Mus musculus: one gene and its partners. The protein of the gene in region 7 interacts with the protein of the main gene of each other region in a biochemical or structural test. Links are inferred from orthologs where the notes say so. Each region holds a gene or a part of one and is shown on either strand. Other genes may lie near its edges. The genes, in order: Bag3, Eef1a1, Fgfr2, Pdgfra, Lat, Gab1 and Plcg1.

Region 1 (3,475 bases), on a different chromosome or scaffold from region 7:
AAGTGACATCTAAAGTCAGTGTTTCCACTCCTGGATCAGGTCCCAACATGGGAAAGTGCTGGGTAGGAAATTTGAAAGTGGATGGCAAACTGGATAATATGCTATTGGAAGAGCATTAAATTTCCGGAATCTGGCCATCCTACTATGGTTGTATTTCTTAGGGAAAATATTTGCTGAAGTGTCCAGAAGTAAAAGGCCATGATATTTGCAAGTAAGTCTCCTGCAGTTCAAGTAAGCAGATGGTAGAGGAAGAAGTGACAGAAAATGACAGCAGCGAGCATTGCCGGGGGTGGCAGGGGGCACTGGGGATGCAGCTCAATTGCCAGTGTTTGCACAGTGTGTAAAAGGCCTCGGGTTTGATACTAGCACCACGTGAACCCAACCCAGCGGTGCACCTTGTAACCCGAGCACGAGGGAAACAAAAGCAGGGCGATCCGAAGTTCAAAGTCACCCCCAGACATACAGCAAGTCTGGAGCCAGCCTGGGCTGTATGAGAGACTGGCTCCACAAAGCCAAGCACAACAGAGGACTCTGAAAAGCACACAGGTCTTCTGTGTATGAGTCTTACAGGTCTTCAGAGAGGTTGAAATTGTTTCCAAATAAAAAAAGCTAAAGACAGCACAGGGGAGGTGACTCAGCAGGTCAAACACCTGCTGCACACGTGTGAGGGCCAGAGTTTGCATTCCCCAGGGCACCCAGGAGACAGCTGGATGGGTGTGGTGGTCCACCTGAAATCCCAGCACTCAAGAAGCAGAGATAAGATAACCAACCGGTGAAGCAAGCTGGCCAGTTAGACTAGTTGCACTGGCAAGCGCTGGGTTCAAGTGAGAGACCCGGCGTCAATGGAAAAGGTAGCCACTGATCAAGGAAGACTCACATCAACCATGGGCTTTCACAAGGATGTGCATGTACACGCCCAAAACATGTACCACATACATGCATGCACAACACGTGCAGATACAAACAAAAAGGAGGGTTTCCTGTCCCAGGAGGAGATATTATCACTGTTTGTAAGAGAAAGACATTCCACATTTGGATTTTTGGAAATCTCTCGCAGGGAGATTTCATTTTCAAAACTATGACAAAGAGCAATTCGACTGTTCAGTGTTACAGCTGGGAGCCCAGTGACACTGAGTGTCCTGCCCTCTGAGCTGCAGGCTGTTGGTTTCCCTAACATCTCTCCCTAGCTTCACTGCAGGATAAGCAGGGCTGTGCCCATGTTATCCAACACACCAGGATGGCTTTTCACTACTGTCCACTAATGTGCCAGCCGGGAACCACAGTACCCTACTGCAAAAGGGGTGGGGGAATGTCTCAGACAAGGTCCCTTGCTGTCAGGCTCAGAGCTTAAGAGATAAGAGGGCCATCTGGTCTGCACAAAACAATCACAAACTGAATCCTAAGGAACTCGGTGCAAGGCGTGGAGGGAGTTGCCTTGAAGGGAGAAACTAGGGCCTGAGCAAATGCCCAGAGGGATCAAGAGAATGCCTGGTAGAAGAGAAATAGAGAAAGAGAAACAATGTACACTGTGGTTGGAGTGAGAGCGGGGGGAGGGAAAGACCAGGAAAGGTACGATGCACATTAAGGAACTTGGTCATAGAGGTGAGAGTGACTGACAACCTTACCACAGGCTCCCCCCTTTGCCCCTAGAGCAGCTGCAATGGAAAAAGCCGTGGAGACTACTGACGGTTCAACAGCCCCTGACCAGAAACTTCTAGAATTCTGCTTGTCTCCAGCTGTGCTATGCTGATGAGACTGAGCTTTGAGGAATCCCAGGGCATCTGCAGAACCTCTCAGCCTGCCTTAGCCATCTGCACTTCTGTCAACCAATGACTCTCCATACCTGAGGCCTGTCAACCACTGTGTGCACACGGATGGGAGATGGGCAGTGAACCGGTGTGCCGCTTCTGGCGGGCGAGCCTTCCCGGCTGGAAGCACCTCTGACGGGTGACCTGAATGGAGAAGCGGCTCGAAGCGGCCGGGGCTCCCAGTCATCGCCCTGGATCTTGTGGTATACAGGCTGCTGGGGCTGGTATTCACCCTGCTGAGCTGGGTAGTGGGTCTTCTGGGCTTGGTGGAAGGAGGGCTGGGCTGCTGGCCGGGTGATATTCTGCTCATGTATCACGGGGATGGGGATGTAGCCCCTGGGGAGCTGATGGCTACCCAGACTGCTCCTGCCGGAGGAGGGCAGGCTGGCCGAGGAGGAAGAGGATGAGCAGTCAGAGGCAGCTGGAGACTGAGATCGCTGCAAGAGACAAAGGGCACGAGTGAATGATCCTGCTGCCCTGGCACTCCAAATAGCCACCAGACACCACCTGGCCAGGACAACACATCCCACAAAGCTCTCCTGCTATAAACATTTTCAAAGTGTGAGGATACGGGCTGTGTGTCCTTCTGTGCTCAGTGTGTCCCTGGTTTCAATCTCCAGCACCACTCCACTTAACAAATATAGTATATTAAGACCTCGAGGACTGGGGACACAGTTCCTCGGGAGAGCACCTGTCCAGCCCACACAAGGCTCCCAGAGCTCTAAAATAAAAGAGCCAGGGTTCAAACACTCGGAAGCGCGACCGTTCTCTGCACCTTGCCTGAAATATGGGAAAAGGACAGCCTGCCTACCCACCTCACGGTTACTTTGAGGATTAACTGGCTGCATCTGTGCCTGTGCGTTGGCAGGCAGCAGCATGCACAGGAAGGGTGTGGGCCGCTGTGTTTGTTGTTACTGAATGTCTCCTTATTTCCGCTTAACCTCTTATTGGAGAATGCAGTGAAGCATCTGGGAGCTGCCTGTGTCTGGGTGCAGGCCAGGTCCCTTTCTGTTCTAATCTATCTTCTAGTCATCTAGAAGGTTGAGGGAGCTTGCTCTCCAGGTGGTTAGCTACTAAAGGCCTTGTTGGCTTAAATTTTCTAATATCTCTGATGTTGTTTTGACTTGTACCGGAGGAACATTACAGACGTAGGAAACACATCTCCGAGAAAGGACAGAAATCTCCAGTACCCCACATTACGTATGGTTTTTCACCCCTGATGGTGAAGGTGAACACAAGCAGAGGCTAAAAACAATCAGGACTATGACGCATGCAGGAAATGAGGGCTCGTCCTCAGTAACAAAGCCAACGGACCCAGGGGACGCGCTGCAGAGAGGAGGACGGAAAAGGAAGGCATAACTGCTTAGCAACCCTACCCCATCTGTCGGCCACAACCTCAACTCAGAACCGAATGAGCAATATACCCTTTCACTAGCGACAGACCTCGAAATGGTGAACCTCAGGGCTAAAGTTGTCGCCTTTCTGACCTAACGCTGGATTTCCTTTAGTGGCACGCCCTGAAGACCGAGCTGCCATCCTGAATTTATCTCCAGCTTAGGTCCAAAATGGTTGATGTCCACCCGAAAGGACTGAACAGAGTAACTCTGAGCTCTCTGTGAAGCAGGGAGCCCAGTGTGAATAGGAACACTGATGAAGGAAGCGAGGCA
Region 2 (4,144 bases), on a different chromosome or scaffold from region 7:
TAGACAGAGGCCCTCAAATGCTCCTAGTAAGGTTGGTGCAAGAACATCAAATGTTTGTAACTGGGAAGTGATGTTGTACACCTGGGAGAGGAGATCCAATGATGGATAATCAGATAGGATATCTTTGAGCTAGGAACTGTAACTTGGTGATAGACACCCTAGGGTTCCATCTCCAGCACCCCATATCCCATTACAAAATAATTCTTTTTCCATCTCTAGCATTAAAAAACAAAACAAAGAAGTTCTTCTTTCCTCTGAGAAACACTTCTGTGTGCCTGCTCTGAGAGGCATTTAAAAATGGCCAGGGCTTTAATCCCAGCAGGTCCAGGTCGGATTCCTGTGAATTTGAAGTCAGCCTGGTCTACTACCTATTCCAGGGCAGCCAGGGCTAAAAAAGAGAGACCTTGTCTCAATAACAAAACAATGCTGGTATGATCGCTAGAATTGCAGCAAAGAAAGGGATGTAACTAACAAGGCAAGCCATTTTTGAGAAGCAGTGATTTCACAAGTGTTAGGGATGGGCGCTGGGAGATTGCTGATGCTGGTATTTAGATGAGACCATGTGGGGTGGATTAGATTATTTTCAGGTTTCTCATGTTCAATCAAATGGCTGTACATACACATGTACACATACAATCTTTTTAGTGTAACAAACCTAGAATCAAAGTAAAGCTAACTGTAGGATTGAAGCATATTCTGAACTGAACCCTTAGGGGTGTGAAGGCCGCTTCAGGTTTCCAGAGAATCAACCGGCATTGGATGGAATAAACCAAGGGGCCAGCCCAGGGGCAGATCGGTCGAGCTCTCCGCTACTGAGCTAAGCCCTTGGGTTCTAGAGCCGGGAAGGGTCCCCAACATTGTGTTCCTCTCCCAGCCAGGAGAGCATGGGCTGCGGGAGGCGAACAGAAGGATAGCGGGGCTGACGTCGGGAGGTGGCCTCCGTGGGAAGGGACACCCGGATCTTGACACAGCCTTGGCAGCGGAGTAAGGAAGAGTAGGGATAGATTCTGGCCGCCCTCTTGGCCAGCTTCTCGCCGCCCCACCCTCCGCTAGGGCCAAGAGTAATTCATACAAAAGGAGGGATCGCCTTCGCCTGGGGAAGTCCCAGGGACCGTCGCTAAATTCTCATAACCCATAATCCCGGTACCCGCCCCACCACAGTGCGAGGAGCATGCGCTCAGGGCTGAGCGCGGGGAGAGCAGAGCACACAAGCTCATAGACCCTGGTCGTGGGGGGAGGGGCGCACTGAGCGGGGGGGGGGGGGGTGATGGGGGGGAGGACCGGGGAGCTGGCGCGGGGCAAACTGGGAAAGCGGTGTCGTGTGCTGGCTCCGCCCTCTTCCCGAGGGTGGGGGAGAACGGTATATAAGTGCGGCAGTCGCCTTGGACGTTCTTTTTCGCAACGGGTTTGCCGTCAGAACGCAGGTGAGGGGCGGGTGTGGCTTCCGCGGGCCGCCGAGCTGGAGGTCCTGCTCCGAGCGGGCCGGGCCCCGCTGTCGTCGGCGGGGATTAGCTGCGAGCATTCCCGCTTCGAGTTGCGGGCGGCGCGGGAGGCAGAGTGCGAGGCCTAGCGGCAACCCCGTAGCCTCGCCTCGTGTCCGGCTTGAGGCCTAGCGTGGTGTCCGCGCCGCCGCCGCGTGCTACTCCGGCCGCACTCTGGTCTTTTTTTTTTTGTTGTTGTTGTTGCCCTGCTGCCTTCGATTGCCGTTCAGCAATAGGGGCTAACAAAGGGAGGGTGCGGGGCTTGCTCGCCCGGAGCCCGGAGAGGTCATGGTTGGGGAGGAATGGAGGGACAGGAGTGGCGGCTGGGGCCCGCCCGCCTTCGGAGCACATGTCCGACGCCACCTGGATGGGGCGAGGCCTGGGGTTTTTCCCGAAGCAACCAGGCTGGGGTTAGCGTGCCGAGGCCATGTGGCCCCAGCACCCGGCACGATCTGGCTTGGCGGCGCCGCGTTGCCCTGCCTCCCTAACTAGGGTGAGGCCATCCCGTCCGGCACCAGTTGCGTGCGTGGAAAGATGGCCGCTCCCGGGCCCTGTTGCAAGGAGCTCAAAATGGAGGACGCGGCAGCCCGGTGGAGCGGGCGGGTGAGTCACCCACACAAAGGAAGAGGGCCTGGTCCCTCACCGGCTGCTGCTTCCTGTGACCCCGTGGTCCTATCGGCCGCAATAGTCACCTCGGGCTTTTGAGCACGGCTAGTCGCGGCGGGGGGAGGGGATGTAATGGCGTTGGAGTTTGTTCACATTTGGTGGGTGGAGACTAGTCAGGCCAGCCTGGCGCTGGAAGTCATTTTTGGAATTTGTCCCCTTGAGTTTTGAGCGGAGCTAATTCTCGGGCTTCTTAGCGGTTCAAAGGTATCTTTTAAACCCTTTTTTAGGTGTTGTGAAAACCACCGCTAATTCAAAGCAAAAATGGGAAAGGAAAAGACTCACATCAACATCGTCGTAATCGGACACGTAGATTCCGGCAAGTCCACCACAACCGGCCACCTGATCTACAAATGTGGTGGAATCGACAAGCGAACCATCGAAAAGTTTGAGAAGGAGGCTGCTGAGGCAAGTATAAGGCAAAAGGAGGGATGGGAATTCTTTAAGCAGGGAGTAGAACCTAGGTCTTGGGTGTACTAATTAGAAGTCACTTTGCAGATGGGAAAGGGCTCCTTCAAGTACGCCTGGGTCTTAGACAAACTGAAAGCTGAGCGTGAGCGTGGTATCACTATTGACATCTCCCTGTGGAAATTCGAGACCAGCAAATACTATGTGACCATCATTGATGCCCCAGGACACAGAGACTTCATCAAAAACATGATTACAGGCACATCCCAGGTGTGTAAAATTTACCCATTCCTGACTCAGGATATTTTTTAGTGGGGTGCTTTCTCTGAGATAATGGTATATGATTGTCTTGTTTCTTACAGGCTGACTGTGCTGTCCTGATTGTTGCTGCTGGTGTTGGTGAATTTGAAGCTGGTATCTCCAAGAACGGGCAGACCCGCGAGCATGCTCTTCTGGCTTACACCCTGGGTGTGAAACAGCTGATTGTTGGTGTCAACAAAATGGATTCCACCGAGCCACCATACAGTCAGAAGAGATACGAGGAAATCGTTAAGGAAGTCAGCACCTACATTAAGAAAATTGGCTACAACCCTGACACAGTAGCATTTGTGCCAATTTCTGGTTGGAATGGTGACAACATGCTGGAGCCAAGTGCTAATGTAAGTGACTTTTAAGGTAGTTGAATGGAGAAAGCCGCAATAAGTAAGGAGGTTATAATTGACTGCCTGTGTTTTAGATGCCTTGGTTCAAGGGATGGAAAGTCACCCGCAAAGATGGCAGTGCCAGTGGCACCACGCTGCTGGAAGCTTTGGATTGTATCCTACCACCAACTCGTCCAACTGACAAGCCCCTGCGACTGCCCCTCCAGGATGTCTATAAAATTGGAGGTAAGTAGAATATTAAGTAGAATGTTGACGTGAATTTGAAGTCTTATGTTTTGTGTATTAAATACTTATACAAAACAATACTATTTTAGGCATTGGCACTGTCCCTGTGGGCCGAGTGGAGACTGGTGTTCTCAAGCCTGGCATGGTGGTTACCTTTGCTCCAGTCAATGTAACAACTGAAGTCAAGTCTGTTGAAATGCACCATGAAGCTTTGAGTGAAGCTCTTCCTGGGGACAATGTGGGCTTCAATGTAAAGAACGTGTCGGTCAAAGATGTTAGACGAGGCAATGTTGCTGGTGACAGCAAAAACGACCCACCAATGGAAGCAGCTGGCTTCACTGCTCAGGTGACACATTTTTAAGATAGGTGGCTAGATTGGTTGTGTGTGCAGAATCACAAGGCAAGACTTAAATACACGCTGTTTTTCTTAGGTGATTATCCTGAACCATCCAGGCCAAATCAGTGCTGGCTACGCTCCTGTTCTGGATTGTCACACAGCCCACATAGCATGCAAGTTTGCTGAGCTTAAAGAAAAGATCGATCGTCGTTCTGGTAAGAAGCTGGAAGATGGCCCCAAGTTCCTGAAGTCTGGCGATGCTGCCATTGTTGATATGGTCCCTGGCAAGCCCATGTGTGTTGAGAGCTTCTCTGACTACCCTCCACTTGGTAAGCCTGATCTGAGTCTGCTACACTGAACATCAAGTT
Region 3 (3,526 bases), on a different chromosome or scaffold from region 7:
GCGATGGAGTCAACAAAATCGGTCATCAGATACGATGACCTGACTGAACCTGACCTGTTTGATTCCTGGGAATCACGTGGTAGAGAAAGGTGCTGGCTCCCATGTAAGTTGTCCCCTGGCCACCATTTCAAAAGGACCTTCACTAACCTTGCTATGCCATGTGCATGCCCCCACACAAACGCACACGTGCCCAAGCTACATAAATATATAAATGTAATATATAAATGTAAAAAGATGGAAATGGAAATGGAAAATGGAGAAATAGAAAGAGTTTTCTTTAAAAGTGATGCAGGCTGGAGAGATAGATGGCTCAGTGATTAGGAGCGCTTGCTGCTCTTGCAGAGGACCCGAGTTCTAGTCCCAGCACCACATCAGAGAGCTCACAACTACCGGCCCTCCAGCTCTGAGGGATCCAGTGCTCTCTTCCAGCTTTCCAAGAGCTCCAGCACACATGTATAAACACACACACACACACATCAGTTTTTTAAATGATGAAATAATTAAGGGTCAATGGCCTATCTACCTCAACTTATGGATTTTACTTCTTTTCTCTATTATAAAAACAAATGAGACAGGACATTGCTCCCTTTACTTAAACTCCCTAGACCAGAGTCCAGATGTTAAGAATGGCCCAGGGCTAAGAGATCAGGAGAGGCTGTGAAGGAGTAGCCAAAGGAGTGGCCAAAGGAGTGGCCATTCAGCCTGAAGCCTTAACACTATCTAGCCAGGTAAGAGTTTTATTAAGGACTCTTCCAGCAACTCATTCAGGCAACCAACTTTAACTTCAGCACCATCTAGCTTCTATGGTCCCACAAATGACAGTGGTGTCACTCAAAGTAGCACAGCATTCTCAGGATTAAAAGGAACCCAACTGAGCCTTTTTGACTCCACATTCAACAGCTGGCCAAAGGCTGCATCTGACATATGCTCCAAATTATATCTTAACCCTCTGCAAGAAACACCTGTTGGAAACGAGGCTTCAAGGACGTTGACAAGGACCTGCTCAGCCTGTAGTGTGAAGCTAGGTTGAGAACAGCCAAGGCCCTGTGTCCAAGCCACTACTGACCTGCTAGTTCCCACCTTGTCCACAGAAAGGGCCCAGGAAAGGCAGGGTTGGGTTGAACCCAGAGATTCTTAAGGTATTACACAGTATCACCCGAGAAAGTGTTTAAAATGCAGACTCTTACAGATCCATTCAAGAAGTACTAAATAAGAATTTCTAGGGTTGAAACTAATGAATATGCAGTTTTAACAAACACTAAGATGCACCTCCCCATAGCACAGGCCAGGTTGTTCATTTCCATTGCTAATTTAAAAAAAATAGTGACAATCTTATCAGAATCAAGTTCCGAATCTTATCATAAAGATTTACACCCACACATGCCTGGCTCTTGGAATCCAGGAGCAAGTACAGAAGTCAAGCATTTTTTCCTTATCCACCTTTGAAGGGCTTTGTTTTATGGCACAGGGAAGGTTCTATTGCCTTACCTCCCCCAAAGCCAGCCATCAAAGATCAAGCTCAAGGTTAAAGGTAATTTTCTCCCTGTTCTACATAGCAATCATCGTATCTGGGGGCTGGAGAACTGGCTCAGTGGTTAAAGAGTGCTTGCTGCACTTCTAGAAGACCAGAGTTCAATTCCTACCACCTATGCTGATAAACTCTAGCACTAGTGGACCTGACACTCTCTTTTGGTCTCCACAGGCACCTGCACACATGTACTTATAACCTAAATACAAACACACACACACACACACACACACACACACACACACACACACACACACACACACACACAATCATCCTATCACTGAATCCCTAGCCAAACCTGTAACAATAAACTATACGCATACAGCGTTTTAAAAACCAGACAAAATCAGCCAAAACCCAGTTTAGAAGACATCACAGACCACTTTTATGCAAGCATTAGTTCAGGTATACCTCCATCCTCTGTTTCTGATCTCTACTTAAAATAGTAAATCAAAGAAAATTAAACTCTCTTTCCTATGAAGGGTAAAACTTGAACCCGAACATCTGGCCTCATACAGAAGCAATGGAGCCAGACCAAATGCTTGTTCTCCCAAAGGAGCCGTGAGCTTGAGGGGCGCAGAGGGCATGGCCTCCTCTGCCCATCCCACTGGGCAGCTCCAGTCTTCACACTCTTGTCCTTTAAAACCAGAGCCAGCCTACCAAGCCCAGAGCAGCATTGTGACTTAATGCTCTTTAGTCCCAACCGCTGACTGAACCTCCACACAGTGGCAGATTAGAATTGCCTGCAGTTCTGGAGCTCACAGAAGTTAGGGGGAAAATCAGAGGGAAGAAGATCCAAGAGCTGGCTGGGTGGGGGAGGGGAGTAAATTTCTTCAAACTCTTTATCTACTTTCTGTTACCTGTCTCCGCAGGGGGATGCGCTTGGTCAGCTTGTGCACAGCTGGCTGGCTGCTGAAGTCTGGCTTCTTGGTCGTGGTCTTCATTCGGCAAAAGATGACTGTCACCACCATGCAGGCGATTAAGAAGACCCCTATGCAGTAAATAGCTATCTCCAGATAATCTGGGGAAGCCGTGATCTCCTTCTCTCTCACAGGCGCTGGGTTGCAGATCCGCGGGAGAGGGACAAATAAGCAGGCCACAGAGTTAGGATACCAGAGGGATGTATCGAAGCACACTTCAAGGAATGACGCCAAAGACATCAAGGGCTTCCCTATCTACAGGTCAATGCACAGAGATACCCAGATGCAGAGCAGCCATGGGCCTCCTGCCTGGGCCTCTCCAAATGCTAACAAAGAGCCAAGGGTTCCTCGGTTTATCACTACAGCCCAGGCAGCTGCCTTCTCCAGCCTCAATGGGCATCTGCCACCAGTGAGCAGCTGATACCAGACTGTAATGGGGGACTACAAGGCCTCATTCTGCTAAGCCCCTGGTCATAGCAGGACACCCAGGACACCCACCACAGGAGGACTGTCTGTCATGATGGCGGCTCGACATAAACCAAACAGAATTATTAAAAGGGACCTCATCCACTGTTGCTTCTAAGGAGACAGGGATGATGCTTGCTAGCTAGGGAGGTGCCTCCAGGGGAAGGTTCAACAGGACCCCAGAGGATGGTAGCTCCAAAGGGCTCACACTCAACTAGTAGGCTGGCCCAAAATGTTTTGGCAAGTCCCTTCATATGGTCCAGAATATTTATTCAGTTAAACAAACAGATGTATCAATCTTGAGATAGTCACATATATAATATATGATATATATGTATGTGTATGTGTAGATATGTATGTATGTATGTATATATATATATATATATATATATATATATATATATATATAATACTTAAGAACCAATAAAATGTTTGTATATCCAGTTATCCTGACTTGTTACTGAACCTTTAAATGTATGATGGTACTGCATGTGAGCAGAACTGTGATTAATTTAGCATATTCTTCTGTCAACTATATTGGTTCTTCCTCAACTGGTCAATCTACAAGCAGTGTATTTCCAAACATGATTATTCTCAAGCTGCATCTCCTTAA
Region 4 (4,220 bases), on a different chromosome or scaffold from region 7:
CTTCGGCGCCTGACGCGTTTGCAGCCTGAAGCCCCTCCCCCTGCATCTCTCCCCAGCCCGCGCCCAGGAAGAAAGTAGAAGCCCCTGGGCCCAGAAGTGGGAGGCCAGGTTCTGAGTCTGAACCCTGCGGGTCTGCAGACTCCAGCAAAAGAAGGGATCCGGGGCAATAAACAGTGGAGTTGGACTGTGTTCTCTTTCTTTCTTTCTCTCCCGCGAGCTTTAGAAACCCAGCTGTACTAGAGACAACCCAAAACAGGACTTTTGCAAGGGTTCCTAAGCAGGAACTGACCACGGCGACAAATTAATTGGTGTGTCACACACACACACACACACACACACACACACACACACACTCCTGTTGGGAAATCGAAGGAGTCCTCATCAAGAGGAATTTGCAAAGAAAGAGGACGAGAGGAAGGATGAGATGGAAAGCCTTGGTCAGGGGAAAATCCGAGCCTAAGAGAGGTTATGTAAACTCCAGTGCGACGGCAGAAGAGGTGCGCCCGAGGAGCGCCCTGAGCCCCGAGCCTCTTCTGAGACTTTGGGTGTTAAATCTGGGGCTGTACAGCTGCAGACCACAGTGTGGGTTTACACTAGAGGCCTCCTCCGGCTCCTCAAGGCTGCCTAAGACTGATCCGAAACCATTCAGGAGAAGCAATTCAGTCCAAAACATTGAGCAATTCCGCCACGAAGCCAAAAAGCCGTTTCCCACACCGCCCAGCCTGGGGCTTTTCTGGGCAGCTCTGTCCGACGCTGGGCAGCCCAGACTTTTAAAAGTGCCACCCACGCCCCCTCCCCAGCTTGGGTTCCCCCATGCACACCCTCCGGGTCTTCTAGAGGTCTTAGCAGACCTGGGAGTTTCTAAGCGCGGGTTCTGCAAGGACTCCCCACAGCAGACAAACAGGCCAACACTTCCTTTCTCGCCAAGGCTGGTCGCCAAGTCACTGGCAACTCCTGCACACCTGGCTGCGAGGCTCTGGCTTGGTCCTGCTGCAGACCAGGGCCGAGTCATACTGCCTTACTCTGCAGACTGCCCCACACGCCTTCCAAACAGAAAGAATCGCCGACCTCAGAAGCTTCAAAGCCAAGAGATCGCTTCCTGCTTTCCCGGCCCTGCTCGAGGGAAGTTAATCTCACATGTATAAACTGATTTCCAAGGGAATAACGGTGAAGGAGGGAAGGCTGCGCGGAGACCGCCCCTGAGTTTTGCAGGATACTGAGCGTTGGGAGGAAAGTTGGGGGGGGGGGGCACTGGAAAGGTTGCGTTCAGGCGACCAGTGCCTCGCATCCATCATCCCAGGGCAGAGAAGCACCCAGAGTTCCGTAGGCAGGAGGCGAGGGTGGTTGGCCTCTTACATTTCTGCTTACCTGCACCCACGTCTGTCCTTTCAGAGATGTCCTGACTTCTTCACAAGAGGTCAGCTCCTAGCCAGGGATCTTGCCTCTTTGCTGCCTGCGGCCAGGACTAAGCAAGAGCCAGGCCCCCCCAACCCCCGGCCGTGCAGAAAAGACTCCACTGGAGACGCAAGTGAGCCGAGTGGGGGTGGGGACTACGGAGCACAATGAGGGCCCCTCGGAGTGCAGTTTGAAATTCCTCAAATCCCAGTTGCTGGAATGCGAGGCCAGGACGACTTCTTCACTCGAGGCCAAATGTGTTTGTCATTATTCCAGATCGCTCGTCCGCGCCGCCGCTGCCGCCGCTGCCTCCGTCGCTGGAGTGAGAGGCGCACGATCCCAGCGCACTGCGGATTCCGCCCGAGGCTTCTAGCACCCAAGTAATTCGCTCCAATCTCTCCGGAACCCTTGGAGCTGCGCCCCTCGCCCGCGCGCCCCTCTCACGGTGCTGCAGCCGCCACCGCCGCGCTCAAGTCTGGCCCCAGATGTTTCCAACAGCAGCGCCGTCCAGTAATTACGAGGGCTCGACTGGCGCCGAGTGTGCCCGGCCGGCATCCGAGGTCCGACCTCCTCCAGCCGAGCCCTTCACACCTCCCTTTTTTCTTAGCGCTTTCCCGCGCCCCACTCGGCGCCCCTTTCCCCTCCACACACACACTTCTCCTGGTGCGCCCCCTCCCCAAGCTTCGCGCCGCACCACCCGCTACAGCGTAGTCCCGCCAAACCGCGGGCGACGAATGAAAATACTCATTAAAAACCTGTCCTCTTCCGTGACCCACTGCCAAGAGGCCAAGCGCCGCGGCTTCCACCCCCCCAATGTTACTTGGTGTTCGTCCCAGTAAGCACGAACGCCACCCCCACCCTGGAGGAAAACCTCAAAAATGTAAGCCTAACAATTTCTTTGGAAGGCTATAGGATTGTGTAGGGAAAAAAAAAAAAACATTGCTTTTAAAAATAGGTCTGGATTTTTTTTCATTTTCTTTTTCTTTTTCTTTTTTTTTTTTTATCTTTGACTCTCTAATGGTTACCCCCCCACACCCCCCATTCCAGTGAAGTTTATTCAGAATAAGTTACTTTCTGGACACACCACTGAACTCAGCTGTTTTGTTTTTGTTTTCCTCGTTGCCCAAAATTTGAAGTTACTTAGCTTCTTGCAGCCCCAAGTTATGATCAGGGACCTTCTTGAGAAACAAAAGTCACTTTTTCCTCTCCCTTACCTTCTCCTTCTATGTCAATTTGCAAAGAAAATCCGATACCCGGAGTGAAAAGTAAGCCCCAAGCTTCCAGTCCTTCCCCGCAGCTCCTCCGTTTGTTTCTCTCCCTCAAGCTCCAACAGTAATGGGCTCAAAACCCGCATTTTGTAATTGATTCAATGTTATAGTCCGTCCTCCAAAAACTAATCATTTGCTTAAAGTAAATAGCTGTCAGGAAATGAAGTCCCCCCCCCCCTTGGTCTCTTCAAAATAAAAGTTTCCCTAGGACTCCTTGCTCTCTGACTCTCTCAGGCTCAAGACCTCTTCTTTGCTTTTTGCTCTTATGCAATCAGGGGGGCCAGTCCCAACCCCCAGACTTCAACAACAACGAGGAGGGGGGAGCAAACCAGATGGGGTGGGGTGGGGGGCCGAAGGGGGAGGTGTTGACGTTCTGCCGGGAAAGAGGTTTCAGGAAACTACAAACAGCCATCATTTCCAAAATGAGTTGACTTCCCAATTTGGGGGTGGGGGTGCTATTGTTTTGTATTCTCTTCGAAAAGAAAATACACGTAAAATTGCTGCTCATTTCTAAAACGAATATAAATCTAGAATTCAAATTATCCTTTCTATAGACAGTCTGGGCCTCGCTAGAAATATGGCCCTGGGGAGAAATTCTAACGCGGCTGCGTCGTTTTGAACTGGGGGTCTTAAGGGAAAGTGCCGTGTAGTTGCTAATCCTTTAATGGGATTAGGAAACTGTGGAGTCTAATAGGAAGATGATGGGTTTTTGAAAGGCTGGATTGTGAGGCGGTGTGCAAATAACGGTTGCTCGGCGTACCTTTGGGATGTTCTCCGGAAGAAGGAAAGAACGACCTTTATCCCTTCGGAGCCACTTATCTGGTCCTGCCTTTGTTTTCGGGGGTTATCTGGTCCTCGCTTCTTCTATCTTCATATGAAAACGCTCAGGCTAGGCGTGACTACCAAATGCCTGCCCTCTGCATCTTGATGGCAGAAGGATTTTTATCCTCCTAAATTCCACCCTTCCGAGTGGGTCGCACGCGACGTACCCTAGGAAAGCTTTCAGGACGTTTGAGCCACAAACCAGGGAACCCAAGACACCCAGCGAGAGACAGTTGGGACACGGCGATCCTGCTGGCGAGGGAAAGGGGGCGCTGACACTCCAGGAACCAAACCTGGGCGAAGCGGGACTTCCCGGAGCGGGTGGGGGAAGGGAGGGCCTTCGACTTGCGCTCTATTTTTGAATGCTTTTGGTGTGTGTGTGTGGGGGGGGGGGTGTGAGAAGTCCTCTATCTCCACCACCACCACCACCACCACCACCACCACCACCACCACCACCACCACCTCCATCTCACACATCAAAATTAAAATGGACAAGGTGACCAGGTTGATAACAAAACGTCGAATAACCATCGGTTATTTCACCACTATAGTGGACCTGAGGCTCTGGCGTAAATCACAGAGGTTTCCCCGAAATGCCGAGTGCTGTCCCTAAATGGGACAGGACCGACCGTGGGGATATCAGGCTCGGGAAGAGGATGCCTGGAGCTGGGCTGAGAGCCCCAATTCTCCTCCGCCCTTCTGCACGCCCGCCTCTGGTGTATCTTCAGCTCGGGT
Region 5 (4,007 bases), on a different chromosome or scaffold from region 7:
ATTTGAGTTTGAGTCTACCTGGTCTAGATATCAAGTTCCAGGACAGCCAGGACTATACAATGACGCTCTATGCCAATAAAACTAAGACAAAACAAAAACCTATCTTCAGACTGTGTATATATTACATATATGGTTTGTATAAAACATGAATAAATTAATTACATGTTTTATCTTGAGTTTCATCCCCAAGAGAATTTATTATATGTTTATAAATATTCCCAAATCTGTATTGAAGTGTTTCAGGTAAGGGATACTCATGCTATACAGAGATAAGAGGATAGAAAACTGAAGATCACCAGAACTTGAGAAAAGCTCAAGGAAGGAGAAAGACCAAAGCAGAGAAAAGCAGCCCAAGAGAAACAACGACCATGTGGTACGCAGAATAAATCTTCAGTGAGTGTGTGTGAGAGAGACAGGCAGAGATACAGAGAGACGGGCAGAGATACAGAGAGACGGGCAGAGATACAGAGAGACGGGCAGAGATAGATACAGAGAGACGGGCAGAGATACAGAGAGACGGGCAGAGATACAGAGAGACGGGCAGAGATACAGAGAGACGGGCAGAGATACAGAGAGACGGGCAGAGATACAGAGAGACGGGCAGAACCAGAGAGGGATAGAGACACAGAGAGAAACAATCTGTAATCAAAATTTGTTTTGTTTTGTTTTTTCGAGACAGGGTTTCTCTGTGTAGTCCTGGCTGTCCTGGAACTCACTCTGTAGACCAGGCTGGCCTTGAACTCAGAAATCCGCCTGCCTCTGCCTCCCGAGTGCTGGAATTAAAGGCGTGCGCCACCACCACCCGGCTATGTAATCAAAGTTCTTATAGATACATTAGATGATATTGCTTCCAAGAAACAACAGTGTACTATACAAAAAGAACCGAGACGCCAAAAAAGGGGAGGGGGACTTTCAGATAAGAGAAATAAATTCTTTTGTTTTCTTTTTGTTGATCGTCGTGCTGTTTTGGTTTTCGAAGAGAGGGTATCACTATGTAGCCCAGGCTAGCCTCAAATTCAACCCTCCTGCCACTGCCTCCTGATGCTGGGATCGTAGGCCCTCACACCCAGCCGAGAAATGAAATTTCAATGGCAGGGTTCAAAAAGAGTCAGGAAATTTCTTAGACAACAGAGACGAAGGAGCAAAGGTGGAAGGAAAAACAAGACAGTCGGAAGTGATGAGGAGCAGGAAGCCCAACGTCTACAGGAGGAAATGGAAGGGCGGCAATCGTCACGGAGGTGAGAGGGAGGCAAGAGTGGAGAGCTGGCAGCACATGGCAGAGGGAGGTAGACAGAAAGCCTGACTCACCAGAGAAGGCACTGTCTCCAAGGTCAGGGTTGCTAGGCACAGGAGCAGAGGAGACAACAGGGACGGCAGCAGGACTACTGTCAGGCAGCACCACTCTGGAAGAAAGGAAGGAACGAGAAGTTGATAAAGGGCACACAACTTCCACGGTCACCTCCCCTCTACCCACTCACAGGTAGCCGTTGGGATAGTCGTCTTCATCCTCATCTGCATCCACATTCTTACAGGCTGGCTCTGTGAGAAAGGAGAGTTAACACGACCTGGACAGGTCCAGCCTCCCCACCCCACCCACTACCCCAGACCCCAGACCCACCCTGGTTCTCGTAGCTTGCCACACTGTTGGCTTCAAAGAGAGAGGGAGAAGAAGACTGGATCAGCTCAGGTTGTACATCCTCCCCAAAGCCCTCCTGTGCCCTACACCCTTACCATCATCTGAATTCTGCTGGGAAGATGGCATCCGATGGGAACCCCCAAGGGGCTGTGGGGATCTCCTGGAAGCCAAAGGTCAGAGATTACGTCTAGGTAGGACTCTGGGAGCAAGACAACCAGGAAAAAGCGCCTCCCCAACCTAGAAGGTGGAGAGGCACAGTAGACCCAAGGGACGGAGTTGGGGGATACTCACGGGATGGGGAGCAGGTCTGGCTGCCTCAGGGGTGGGAAGGAAGTGACTAGAGGGTAGGAAACAGCAGGTGTTCGGGGGACGGTTATTTCTGAGGACACAGAATGAAGCTTGAGGGATGGCTCCAGACACCCCCCATCAAGGCCTCGAAGGACAAATGGACCCCAAAATAACATGCCCTAGACAGACATGGGGGCTCCCACTTTCCCCATCCCAAGCCAGGGAACAGCCCTTCAGACAGCTAAAGGTGAACAAGGACAAACGCACACTCTTAAAAACCCTCGAGGAGGGCCAGAGACACTGAACTCACGAGGTGGCTTGATGAGGATGCTTCTTGGGTACAAACTGGCAGGAAAGAGACAGCTTGGGTACAGGGCCAAGAGGGCCCCAGCCCCAAACCCTTGAGTGGAACCAAGGGAAGACACACAGGGACACGGGCTTCCCACTCACCTCTCTGTGGAAGTGCTGTCATAGGAGACTGGAGGAAAGAAATCCAACAAGTCAGGATCGGGGTGCACCAGGGACAAAGAAACTCAGGCCCCCCACCATCAATCAGGGCCCAGGTAGGGACAGTGGAGAGTGCAGGGGCTGGGGAGGGTATGAGGATCCAATGGAGCGCCCACCCATCATCCAGTTCCGCAAAGCTTCCCACTTACCTGGCAACTCACGGCAGCGCACGCACAGGGCAGCCAGGAGCGTGACCAAGAAGGGCAGCAGCAGGAGGCCCAGCCCCACCGGGCTCAAGGCGTCTGCTTCCATCTGCAGAGCACCTGCCACAGGCCCTGCTGCACTGCAGCCCCTCGAGACAGAGTGGCAGCAGGGGTATGGGACCAAGCGGGCTCCAGCCTGGGATCCGCCCGGCAGTAGGCAGCCGTATCCTTTCGGGGCTGGATGGCTCCCCTCTCTTGCTGGACTGAGTTGAGAGCAGTGTTGGCTCTGGAAAGGTGCTCGCCCCAGAGCCAGAGCTGGGGCCCGTGCCCCAGCTACCAGCTGCACGATCCCCGTGCCCAGCTGTACCTGCCCCTTTCTTGCTCCCCGCCTGCCTCTCCTGCTCACCACCGCGTGCGACAGGAAGCTGTGGTGAGGGCAGGAAATCATCAGGCTGCTCAGCAGGCTGAGCCTGCCCCCTGCCCACTCACCCCCACCCAGTTGTGGGAAGGGGGAGGAGGCAGAGGGACTGTGTGGAGGAAGGGTCTAAGGCTGCAGGATGAGGCAGCCCGTCCACTAGGAAAGGAGACACGTGCCAACCAGGCCCGCGGTACCCTCCCCATGCCCGGGTGGGAGAACTGCAAGGAGGCTCTGCCAAGGCCTGTGTGGACCGAGGGCACTGAGGGCACCACAGGCCCCCAGCTCCCAGGCTTAACTACTGGGAGAGCGACTTCCAGGGGACCACGGTGAGTCACAGTCATACTGAACCAGCTCACTCAGAAAAGAGCAGCCCTCCTTCTAGATTACCAAGCTCAGAAGACAGGGACTTACCCACAGGGTGACCTGACAGCCCCTGCTAAGTCCTGGGACTATGGATATTCCCTGAGGCCAGTGGCACCCACAGAGAGACAAGCAGTCAGTCAGGAGTCTGATTACAAATTTTATTCCATTACAAATAGCACCAAACCCCTTGGGCTGTCCTAGTAGAGAGGACACCCCTTCCCCGTTTCTGGACTCCCATCTCTTCCCTGGGCTGCCCATGTAGTGTCTGGGAGCTGGGAGATATCCCAGGGCTTCCTTCTTGGACCTGGGCCTGGTGAGGGCTTCTGCCTGGGAACCGTCTTGGGTGGGCCCAAGGCCCAGCTGCGATGCATCAGTGGCCGGGTAAGCACCGGCTCCTCAGATGAGCACGCTGGACACGGGGACTCGGGTAGAACGGCCTCGCTGAGGTACTACAATCCGGTCATCTGAGGGCCCAGACTCATGCAACAGACCTGCGAGAAAGGGGTCAGAGCCAAGGCCAGTAAGATAAGAGCCAGCAAGGGGACACAGGCAGCAAGGGGACACAGGCAGAGGGGCCCAGATGAGGCAGCATGGAGAGCCCTCAGAACTGCACACAGACAGAGCCCAATCCACTTCCAGACAGACCCAAAGC
Region 6 (4,134 bases), on a different chromosome or scaffold from region 7:
CAATCACTCTTCCCTGATTCAGAAGCTAACAGGTTTGGCATGATTGGGACTTTTGTGGGAGAACATTGCTGTGGTCATATAATGATACATATAAGTAAACATAATCATATTATTATTAATATCTTTATAAATAATCAGCTGTATTTGGTTTTTGTGCTTGTGTTTTCTATTTTTGAGACACGGTCCTGGCTAGCCTGGAATCTGCTATGGAGACCAGTTTGTCCACGGAGCCTCCCATTTCTGCCTCTGGAGTGCTGGGTGGTATTGGGCATATAATACCACCATATCTGTCCCTTATTAGTTGTCATTTTCCTTCCCTGCAAGGCTTTTCTCCTTACCTTGTGGCTGGTGCCTAGTACAGAACTCAGTATGTCTGGCAGGCCATAAGTAATGAAAGAATGCACCGGACTGCATGATCAGCAAATATATTGTACTTTAGTTTCCTCAAGAATCCTAAAACCGTCTTTCCTAAATAGTGCCTTACCTCTATCTCCTCACCCCTCATCGCCTCACCACAATCGTCTCTTTAGAACTAATTCTGAAGATGTCACTGCCACTCTCAAATTTCTGGAATCAAGTTGCCATCTTTACCAAGAAATCCAAGCAAACTGTGACAGATGGAGAGACATCTTTGGGGAACCTCTGACAATTTGTCAAATCACATCTTTCAATGAAATTACTTGGCTGTATTAAATTATACCAGAAGGTGAGCCCGAAACTCGCTGGTGAGCTCCGTGAAAATAAATATTGCCTGGTTTCACACAAGCAAGCGAGTAGTCCGATGATTCTTGGTGTAGACGCCCCTCCACCAGAAACAGGTTTCATCAAAACAGGTAGTAAACTCTAATTAAGTGGGTACACGTTTTGCTTTTGGGAAACACATTTCACCCTAAAAATACTTGTTTCAAATGCCGGTACAAAGTGTCATTTCTTTACTGACAGGGTACATCGCAAAATTAGCCAATCTGAAGGAAGACTTAGGACCCTAGATTCCCGATGAGGATATAGTTCCACTCAAGTATTATAGGCTCCTTCAAGATACAGTTTTCCTAACCGTGAACACAGTCATCTCACAATCAGCATCTTGAATCAATTACGCAAATACCAGTTAAGCCGTTCTGGTGCCCGGGAAAAGAAACGCCAGCATCAAGAAATCCCTGTTGGCTTCAGCTGTCCCCTCCTGCGGGGCTTGACAGCGCTTCTAAGGCGCCCAAACACCAGCCACCAGGCTCCCCCCAGCGCCCTCCTGCCGAATCAAACCGCCAGGGTTCTCAGGCCAAAATCCAGTGTCCTCAAAGCAAAACCATGAAAATGCTAAGCAGACGGCAGGGTTCATAAGAACTTTTTTCCCCTTTCCCTTGAGCGAATATTTTGAGAAGTTTGCCTATATTATCCACTTCTTGCGTCCACAGTTCACTTCCCTCCACCTCCTGGAGGCGCAAAGGAGAGCGGGCGCGGACCCAATCGAGAACCCATGAGTACTTACTACCTCCGCGGTTTCTCGGGGAGGGGAGATTTAACAGCTCCATGAGAATCTGATACAGATAATAAAAGAAGGCTCTTTCTCCCTGTTTCACTCCACCCTTGCTAAATGGAAATAACAACAACCAAAGTATGCAGCCAGTTTTGAGCTGGAAAACTGGGCTTCTCTAACAGGCAACGAGGCCTACAAGGGAGGCAGTCTGCAATATGGAGGGAGAAAGTTTGGCCGCCGAGTGGACGTCAGGGTGGGAGTGGACCGCACCCGGTCCGGAGCCCGCCGGCCGAGAGACGGATCGAGGAAAAGGAGGGCGGGATTCGTGGAAGAGCCAACCGGGCGCGCAGGCTGCTGCAGCGGGGCAGACGGTGACCTGACCTGTACTTACATAACGCTTCAACTTCTTCTCCGGGGGCGACTTGCGGAGCCATCCCGAGCAAACCACTTCGCCGCCGCTCATGGTGCACGCCGTGAGGACTCGAGGACCAGACACCAAAGGGGTCGGTGGACACAGTGGACGCGCTCCGTGCACGGCGGGCACGGCAGTCAAACGCAGCCCAGAGGACGTCTCAGATTCCCCCGACGGGGCGGCCCGGCTCCCCGCGCCCTGTGTCGGCGATCGAACCTCTCCCGCAGATTCGCGGACTGAAGAGGAACTCGATCGGGAACCGCGGGGACCAGGGCTCGCCGACCTTCTTTCAGTGCGCCCTCCTGGCCGCCAGGCGCGCCGTCCCGCCGCCTAGGCAGCGGTCGGGCTCCGCTGGGACTCTGTCCGGACAGGGAGCCCAGAACTGGAAGCCCTGCGCTCCGCCCCTTGGAAACGGGACCTCCCGCGGGTGCTCCCCGCTGCGGACCCCACGCTGCACGCGCACACACAATGCCCGCGCGCGGTGTCCGCTCCGCTCCGCTCCGCCCGTTGGCGCATTCACACTGAGAGGGGCTCGATCTTCTCTTTCCCTCTGCTCGGAAAAGGGCGCCTGGGAAGGCGTGCGGCGTCCGGGTGGCAGCCGGCACAGGGGCAGGTCCTGATCAGCCTAGGGAGTTCGCGGACCAGCAGCGAGGGTCAGGGCGTCGCCGGGCGTCGGGGAGGTCGCGGGTCCGCGGTGGGAGGGTGGGTCTGCGCTCCAGCCTCGGATGAGGGCGGGGATCAGCACAGGGACGAGGCGCAGGGCGGCTCTGCTTCGGGGAGGGACCCCTCTGTCCTGTCCCCTGCGCTCCTCCCCCACCCCGGGGGCGCGCGGCGGGTTCGGGGAGGCGCGGCCTGGGCCCCGGCCCTCCTCCTCCTAGCCTTTCTGCCTCCCCTTCCCACGATCGGTCGCCTCTAGCTTCAGCCCAGACTTTCTCTGAAACTCCTCCGGAGCGCTTCCAGCCAAAACAACAAGGGCTGGGGAGGCGGGGCCGGCGCTGGGAGGGAGCGAGATGGCAGAGGCACCCTGGGATCTGTAGTCAGCAGGCGCGCTGGGGTCCTCGCCGCCCCGCCGCCCCGGGCCCGCGCGCTATGGAAGGCGGCGGTCTCCGGGAACGCAGCGCCACCCCAGTGTGAGAGCGGGAGTGCCGGGCACTCTCGCCAGCTCCGACTGAGTTTGCCATCTTGACAACCCCCAGGGTCAGGAGTTTGTACTCGGCTGTGCCTTCGCGATCCAGAGTTTTCGGAAGGATTTCCCTACTTGACAGTCTGAAAAAATAACCCAGCCAGGAGGAGAACTCACTCAAGCGGGTCCTGGCTGCTCGAGAGACTGAAGGACTGCGTCTCCCGGACCAGGAGCGCGCTAGGACCCTCACTGTGCACCCAGAGACCAAGGGGGTGGGGGACCTCCTGGGTGCCTAGGGCCTGACCCAGGAGCTGTTCTACCGAGTGATGCTACCGCTTAGCCTCCACAAAGCGTTCAGCTGCGTGTATCTCTAAGACAGGATAAAGTCTCACACTGCTTCCACTCATGGGCTGTTTCTTCCAGTTGGCGTTGTGTTTGTTTAAAACCTGCGCTAGGATGTTGGACAGGAAAAGAAATCATTCTGGGTACCCTAATTCTATTTGCCTTTTTGTGTGTTTTACAGTTATTATATCTGGGCTGAGTTTGACACAGTCTTGTAACAGACTCTTCTTTACGGGTGTGTTTGAAACAAAGCCTTGGAACAAATTTTAGAAGGCAATATAATCAGACAAAAATTTTAAAGAGTTGGGCATGGTGATGCATGTCTTTAATTCCAGCGCTTGGGAGGCCGAGGCAGGCAGATTTCTGTGAGTTTAAGGCCAGTTTTGTCCACAAAGTGAGTTCTAAGGCGACCAGGACTACATAAAGAGGCCCTGTCTCAAAAAGGGAGTTTGTGTGAAAATACAAATAGATAAACAAGCATTTCTGAGAAGCATGAGTTTGGGGCTCTCCTAATAAATGTGTGTTCTGAGTCTGAAACCTTGGGGGTCGTAAAGAGGAAAAGGTGCTGGGAGCCCTGCCTGGCAGAACCCCTGTAATCCCAGGCCTGCCAAGGTAGGTAGGGGAGGGGGAGGGAAAGAAAGACTAGAGAGAGACATGGAGGCAGGAGTGAAGAAATTAAAGAAAGAAAAGAAAAGTAGATGCTAAGTTAATAATAAGACAAAAGCCCTTGCATATAAGAAGAGACAGTGCCCTTTGTTTTTGCCATAAAGTGCTTTTGAAATG
Region 7 (3,526 bases):
CCCAAAACAATACATATCATTAATGGCTTGGTTTTGTCTAGCCTTCACTGCTGGAATCCAGGCTCCAGGCTGTGAGACCAAGAAGGCTTTACAGTAGACAGCTCCCAGAGAACCCAGTTCATGGCATTCCACAGGTGGACAGCACCTGCTGCTCTCCAACTAGGTGGGGTCTGACTAGAGGCGGTTGTCTCCATTGACCCGAGTCCTTCTTGGGGCCCTGAACAGAAGTGAAGTGTCCTTACTGGCCTTGCAGCCAGACAGGACAACCCAAGACACACGGTTATCCCTTTTCCACAGAGGAGAAAGCTGCCAAAGGATTGATCTTTCTGGCTCCAGCACCCTTCCTCCAAGGTCCCACACTGGCTAACTTCCCCTCATCTCCCTCACCTTCGTTCCCGACTGTCAAAATGGTCTGCTAGATGCTCCTGCGAGATGCGGAAATCTTCAAATGGCTGCTGGTATCTGGCTTCAAAGGACCCTTCCCGGGCCCGGACATGGAACAGCTGGCTGGAGGCATCTGAGGCCCGTTCCCTTAGGGATATGCCACTGAAAGGACTGAGGTCACCGTTCTCCTGCTCAGCAAGGGAAGTGCACAAAAGTTGAGGTCTCTTCTGCATCTCAGGGGCTATGACTGAACTCTCTGCTCACGCTGCTGTAGTTACCTTAGCAGGGAAAATGTCAATCTTGATGAGCAGGGAGGCCAACTCCAGGTCTTCACTGTAGTTGTTCTTCAAAGGCACTGCTCTATATCCTAAGAGAAATACCTGGCTCTCAGCCTATCAAGTGTCAAGCAAGTGGATAAGCCCCATCCTGACAGCAAGACTTTATAAGGAAGATTCCTCACCTGTCTTCAGGCCTTTTACTGGGAAAGTAGCCTGAGCCAAGAAGTTCTGGTCACTAAACATGTCTTCCTCATACACCACAAAGCGCAGAAAGGCAAACTCTGGGTTACTGATCTGGAAGTGGAAGGGCTTAGCAGGCCACACAGGGTTCAGTCCGTTGTCCACTGTGAAAGCAAGGGCAAAAGCTGAGGCCACATCTACGGGATGTGATGACTGGTGGAGAGGTCTTTAACACCCCAGGGGAATGATGGGTAATGAGGGAAGACTGACTTACCTACAAACTCCGTCTTTTGCTTGGTGCTGTCGTACTCAGCCCCAGCCACCTCAATCTCCACAAAAGGACACACAATACCCCGGCCATTCTTCGGCAGATGCCTGGCCCCCAGCACCTGTGAGGCAGGCAGGCAGAGATGGGGTGATGACATCCCCCCAGCACCCCGAACATCCTCCCAGCAGAAGCTTGGGGAGCAAATCGTGGAGGAAAATGCACCATGGAGGCAGTATGCCCCCTGCTGGGCCCTGAAGGTGCTGCCCATTAGGCCGCTCATTGTTCACTCCAGAGCAAGCTGTTGGCTGTAAAACCCTGAGCTTTAGCTAAGTATCATGCGTACTTGGCAGTCCATTTCATGTTAAATCCATGTCTGTTCCAATGTGGGAATCTTTTAAATTATTCCACTTTAGAGGGAATATCTGGAAAGTAGCAGTCATGTCCATCTGTGGCTCTGTGCTCCTAAGTGTGCTCAGCTGGCCATAGACTATTCTTACTCTTTCCAGACTGTTCAGGCCACCCCTGCTGATTCCCATAGCGAAGGCTGAGCTGACCCTTGATCACAGCATTTCACCAGACATGGACTGGGGAGCTCTATTCTAGGAACTGGGAAAGGCAAACAGGCTGCTGGTCATGCTCTAGCAAGCTCAGGTTTTGCTTGGTCCTGCAGACAGGAGCCTGGCTCAGCACAGGCCCCTTTTAGCCTGATTTGTGTCATTCTGACCAGGTTTTTCCTTCCAGGTAGTGACTTTTCACAGGTTAGCTTTAACCCGACATCCTAACTCATTTGTGCCAAAAACTGGCCATGATCAGCCATGCTACCCCTGGGATCCCAACCTCACAGAGAACCTGTAGCTGGATTTCCACTTCAGGTGGTCCTACTTCAAGCTCAGGAATAGACCAAGATAAGTTCTCTTCCCCAATGTAAAGCAGAAATGCTGCTCACCTCTGGCCCTGTACCCTTTCCCACTTGTGCTGACCCACCTGGTCGCCACCTTCTTAGCAGGTTTAGTATCAATGGTCTTCATAACCCTTTCCCACCCTGAAGAACCCAGACAAATATACTCACCTCAATGCAAATGACACAGGGTTCCAGACCTCGGAGACTGCTCTTATCAAAGGGGTCAAAGGCTTCGTCTCTCATGGTGCTTGGCTGCAGCACATAGCCACAATGCCCACCAGCCATGAAGAGGGCCTGGTTCATCTGCATAGGCTTGTCTGCAAGAGTGGGATTACAGTGTGCTCCAGTGGAACTGCCCTAAGTGTCTCTCCCCACCCACAGAGACCCCCTCACCTGGGGTCTGGAAATTGAGTGCTACAAGCTGGCTACCGCAGATCCACATGGGCAGAGGGTCATAATTGGAGGAGTCTAGCCTCTGGCCCTTAGGGTAGATGCGCGAGAGCTGCAGCCGGTTGTACTGGAGGAACTTCTTGCCTTTGGCCTTGTTCACATACTTCTCAGCCTTGGTTTCCGGAAAGGAGGACATGTCCCGGTAACAAGCACGTTCTGTGCCAATCTCTGAGCCAAACAGTGAGAGCGTGTATAGAGCGGCCCCCTTGTGTAGTGTATGTAAGGGACAGGGTATTAAACGCCACTCTCAAGCCACCAGCCCCTCAGCACATGCACACCACACCTGGCCCCAGCCTTACTCTCTTCATCAAAGGGAACGGGCCGGCAGTAGACCACAAGCTCGGAGAGCTCCAAGGCGATCTTCTTCCTCCTCTCCATCATCTTTCCCTCAGTGAGCTGGTGACACACACAAGGCCCAGGCTGAGCCCTGCCCAGGAGAAGGAAGCTCCTACCAGCCTTGGGTACACACACACTTCAGGTGTTCTGAGGCCCTCTTCTCTCCTTGCACATTTTAAATAGCAGCAGACACTAAACAAAACTACTGGCTCCCAGTTTTGGCCAAAAATTATCTCTTTCTTCGTCTCCACAGATACACTTGTTCCCCAACCCTCTTGGGGTGGAAGTCTCACCATAACTTAAGTGCCAAATGACCTCACATGGAGCTAAGGTCGGCAAGGCCCTCCCAATAATGCTTTCTGATTATTCTTTACCTAGCCTCGTCCTTCAGCAAAAACACTGCTTCCCGGTTCCCTGAAGCACTAAGGCCTTAAGCCCACCTGGCAATGTGTGTGCCTTAGACGACCTTACCATCTCACGTCCCCATGGCCAATGCAGCCTTCCTCCTCCCGTTCCCGATCTTAGCTGCAGCCTACTCAGGCACTCCCCACACTGTTCTTTGTAGTCTTCTCCTTCAGGGGCTCCACTATTTATAATCTTTCTTTTCATTCCAGGCTAAATCCAGGCAGGGTCTAGCCTGCCAGCCACTGGATCTTTCAGTACCTTGCCCTCCGGGGCACACTAACAAAATCCTCAGCATTGTGTCTGTCCCCAGTCACAAATCTGCTC

What was found.
Region 1: the proteins of Plcg1 (region 7) and Bag3 form a complex in vitro, tested with the Homo sapiens proteins (2 studies listed by BioGRID). The link is inferred for Mus musculus from reciprocal best matches to the Homo sapiens genes PLCG1 and BAG3.
Region 2: the proteins of Plcg1 (region 7) and Eef1a1 form a complex in vitro, tested with the Homo sapiens proteins (2 studies listed by BioGRID, with this or other methods). The link is inferred for Mus musculus from reciprocal best matches to the Homo sapiens genes PLCG1 and EEF1A1.
Region 3: the proteins of Plcg1 (region 7) and Fgfr2 form a complex in vitro, tested with the Homo sapiens proteins (2 studies listed by BioGRID and IntAct). The link is inferred for Mus musculus from reciprocal best matches to the Homo sapiens genes PLCG1 and FGFR2.
Region 4: the proteins of Plcg1 (region 7) and Pdgfra form a complex in vitro, tested with the Homo sapiens proteins (2 studies listed by BioGRID, with this or other methods). The link is inferred for Mus musculus from reciprocal best matches to the Homo sapiens genes PLCG1 and PDGFRA.
Region 5: the proteins of Plcg1 (region 7) and Lat form a complex in vitro, tested with the Homo sapiens proteins (2 studies listed by BioGRID and IntAct, with this or other methods). The link is inferred for Mus musculus from reciprocal best matches to the Homo sapiens genes PLCG1 and LAT.
Region 6: the proteins of Plcg1 (region 7) and Gab1 form a complex in vitro, tested with the Homo sapiens proteins (2 studies listed by BioGRID and IntAct, with this or other methods). The link is inferred for Mus musculus from reciprocal best matches to the Homo sapiens genes PLCG1 and GAB1.

The regions. Positions count from the first base shown.
Region 1 is NC_000073.6:128,540,577-128,544,051, reverse strand, and holds part of Bag3 (BAG family molecular chaperone regulator 3), read right to left. Parts: intron 2,246-3,475; coding exon 1,844-2,245; intron 1-1,843. UniProt on the Homo sapiens protein: Co-chaperone and adapter protein that connects different classes of molecular chaperones including heat shock proteins 70 (HSP70s), e.g. HSPA1A/HSP70 or HSPA8/HSC70, and small heat shock proteins (sHSPs), e.g. HSPB8.
Region 2 is NC_000075.6:78,478,919-78,483,062, reverse strand, and holds the start of Eef1a1 (elongation factor 1-alpha 1), read left to right. Parts: upstream 1-1,338; 5' UTR 1,339-1,424; intron 1,425-2,374; 5' UTR 2,375-2,408; coding exon 2,409-2,552; intron 2,553-2,642; coding exon 2,643-2,822; intron 2,823-2,914; coding exon 2,915-3,211; intron 3,212-3,288; coding exon 3,289-3,439; intron 3,440-3,528; coding exon 3,529-3,785; intron 3,786-3,870; coding exon 3,871-4,105; intron 4,106-4,144. UniProt on the Homo sapiens protein: Translation elongation factor that catalyzes the GTP-dependent binding of aminoacyl-tRNA (aa-tRNA) to the A-site of ribosomes during the elongation phase of protein synthesis.
Region 3 is NC_000073.6:130,193,790-130,197,315, forward strand, and holds part of Fgfr2 (fibroblast growth factor receptor 2), read right to left. Parts: intron 2,586-3,526; coding exon 2,383-2,585; intron 1-2,382. UniProt on the Homo sapiens protein: Tyrosine-protein kinase that acts as a cell-surface receptor for fibroblast growth factors and plays an essential role in the regulation of cell proliferation, differentiation, migration and apoptosis, and in the regulation of embryonic development.
Region 4 is NC_000071.6:75,150,847-75,155,066, reverse strand, and holds the start of Pdgfra (platelet-derived growth factor receptor alpha isoform 1 precursor), read right to left. Parts: upstream 2,817-4,220; 5' UTR 2,610-2,816; intron 2,132-2,609; exon of another isoform or gene 1,369-2,131; intron 1-1,368. UniProt on the Homo sapiens protein: Tyrosine-protein kinase that acts as a cell-surface receptor for PDGFA, PDGFB and PDGFC and plays an essential role in the regulation of embryonic development, cell proliferation, survival and chemotaxis.
Region 5 is NC_000073.6:126,366,568-126,370,574, forward strand, and holds the start of Lat (linker for activation of T-cells family member 1 precursor), read right to left. Parts: upstream 2,684-4,007; coding exon 2,581-2,683; intron 2,403-2,580; coding exon 2,375-2,402; intron 2,270-2,374; coding exon 2,235-2,269; intron 2,016-2,234; coding exon 1,928-2,015; intron 1,797-1,927; coding exon 1,732-1,796; intron 1,649-1,731; coding exon 1,619-1,648; intron 1,540-1,618; coding exon 1,479-1,539; exon of another isoform or gene 1,404-1,478; coding exon 1,309-1,403; intron 1-1,308. Other genes in the region: Spns1 (protein spinster homolog 1), read right to left, coding at 3,752-3,846. UniProt on the Homo sapiens protein: Required for TCR (T-cell antigen receptor)- and pre-TCR-mediated signaling, both in mature T-cells and during their development.
Region 6 is NC_000074.6:80,877,667-80,881,800, forward strand, and holds the start of Gab1 (GRB2-associated-binding protein 1), read right to left. Parts: upstream 2,814-4,134; 5' UTR 1,938-2,813; coding exon 1,866-1,937; intron 1-1,865. UniProt on the Homo sapiens protein: Adapter protein that plays a role in intracellular signaling cascades triggered by activated receptor-type kinases. Plays a role in FGFR1 signaling. Probably involved in signaling by the epidermal growth factor receptor (EGFR) and the insulin receptor (INSR).
Region 7 is NC_000068.7:160,758,785-160,762,310, reverse strand, and holds part of Plcg1 (1-phosphatidylinositol 4,5-bisphosphate phosphodiesterase gamma-1), read right to left. Parts: intron 2,858-3,526; coding exon 2,761-2,857; intron 2,630-2,760; coding exon 2,405-2,629; intron 2,329-2,404; coding exon 2,180-2,328; intron 1,232-2,179; coding exon 1,117-1,231; intron 1,007-1,116; coding exon 845-1,006; intron 752-844; coding exon 663-751; intron 573-662; coding exon 388-572; intron 1-387. UniProt on the Homo sapiens protein: Mediates the production of the second messenger molecules diacylglycerol (DAG) and inositol 1,4,5-trisphosphate (IP3). Plays an important role in the regulation of intracellular signaling cascades.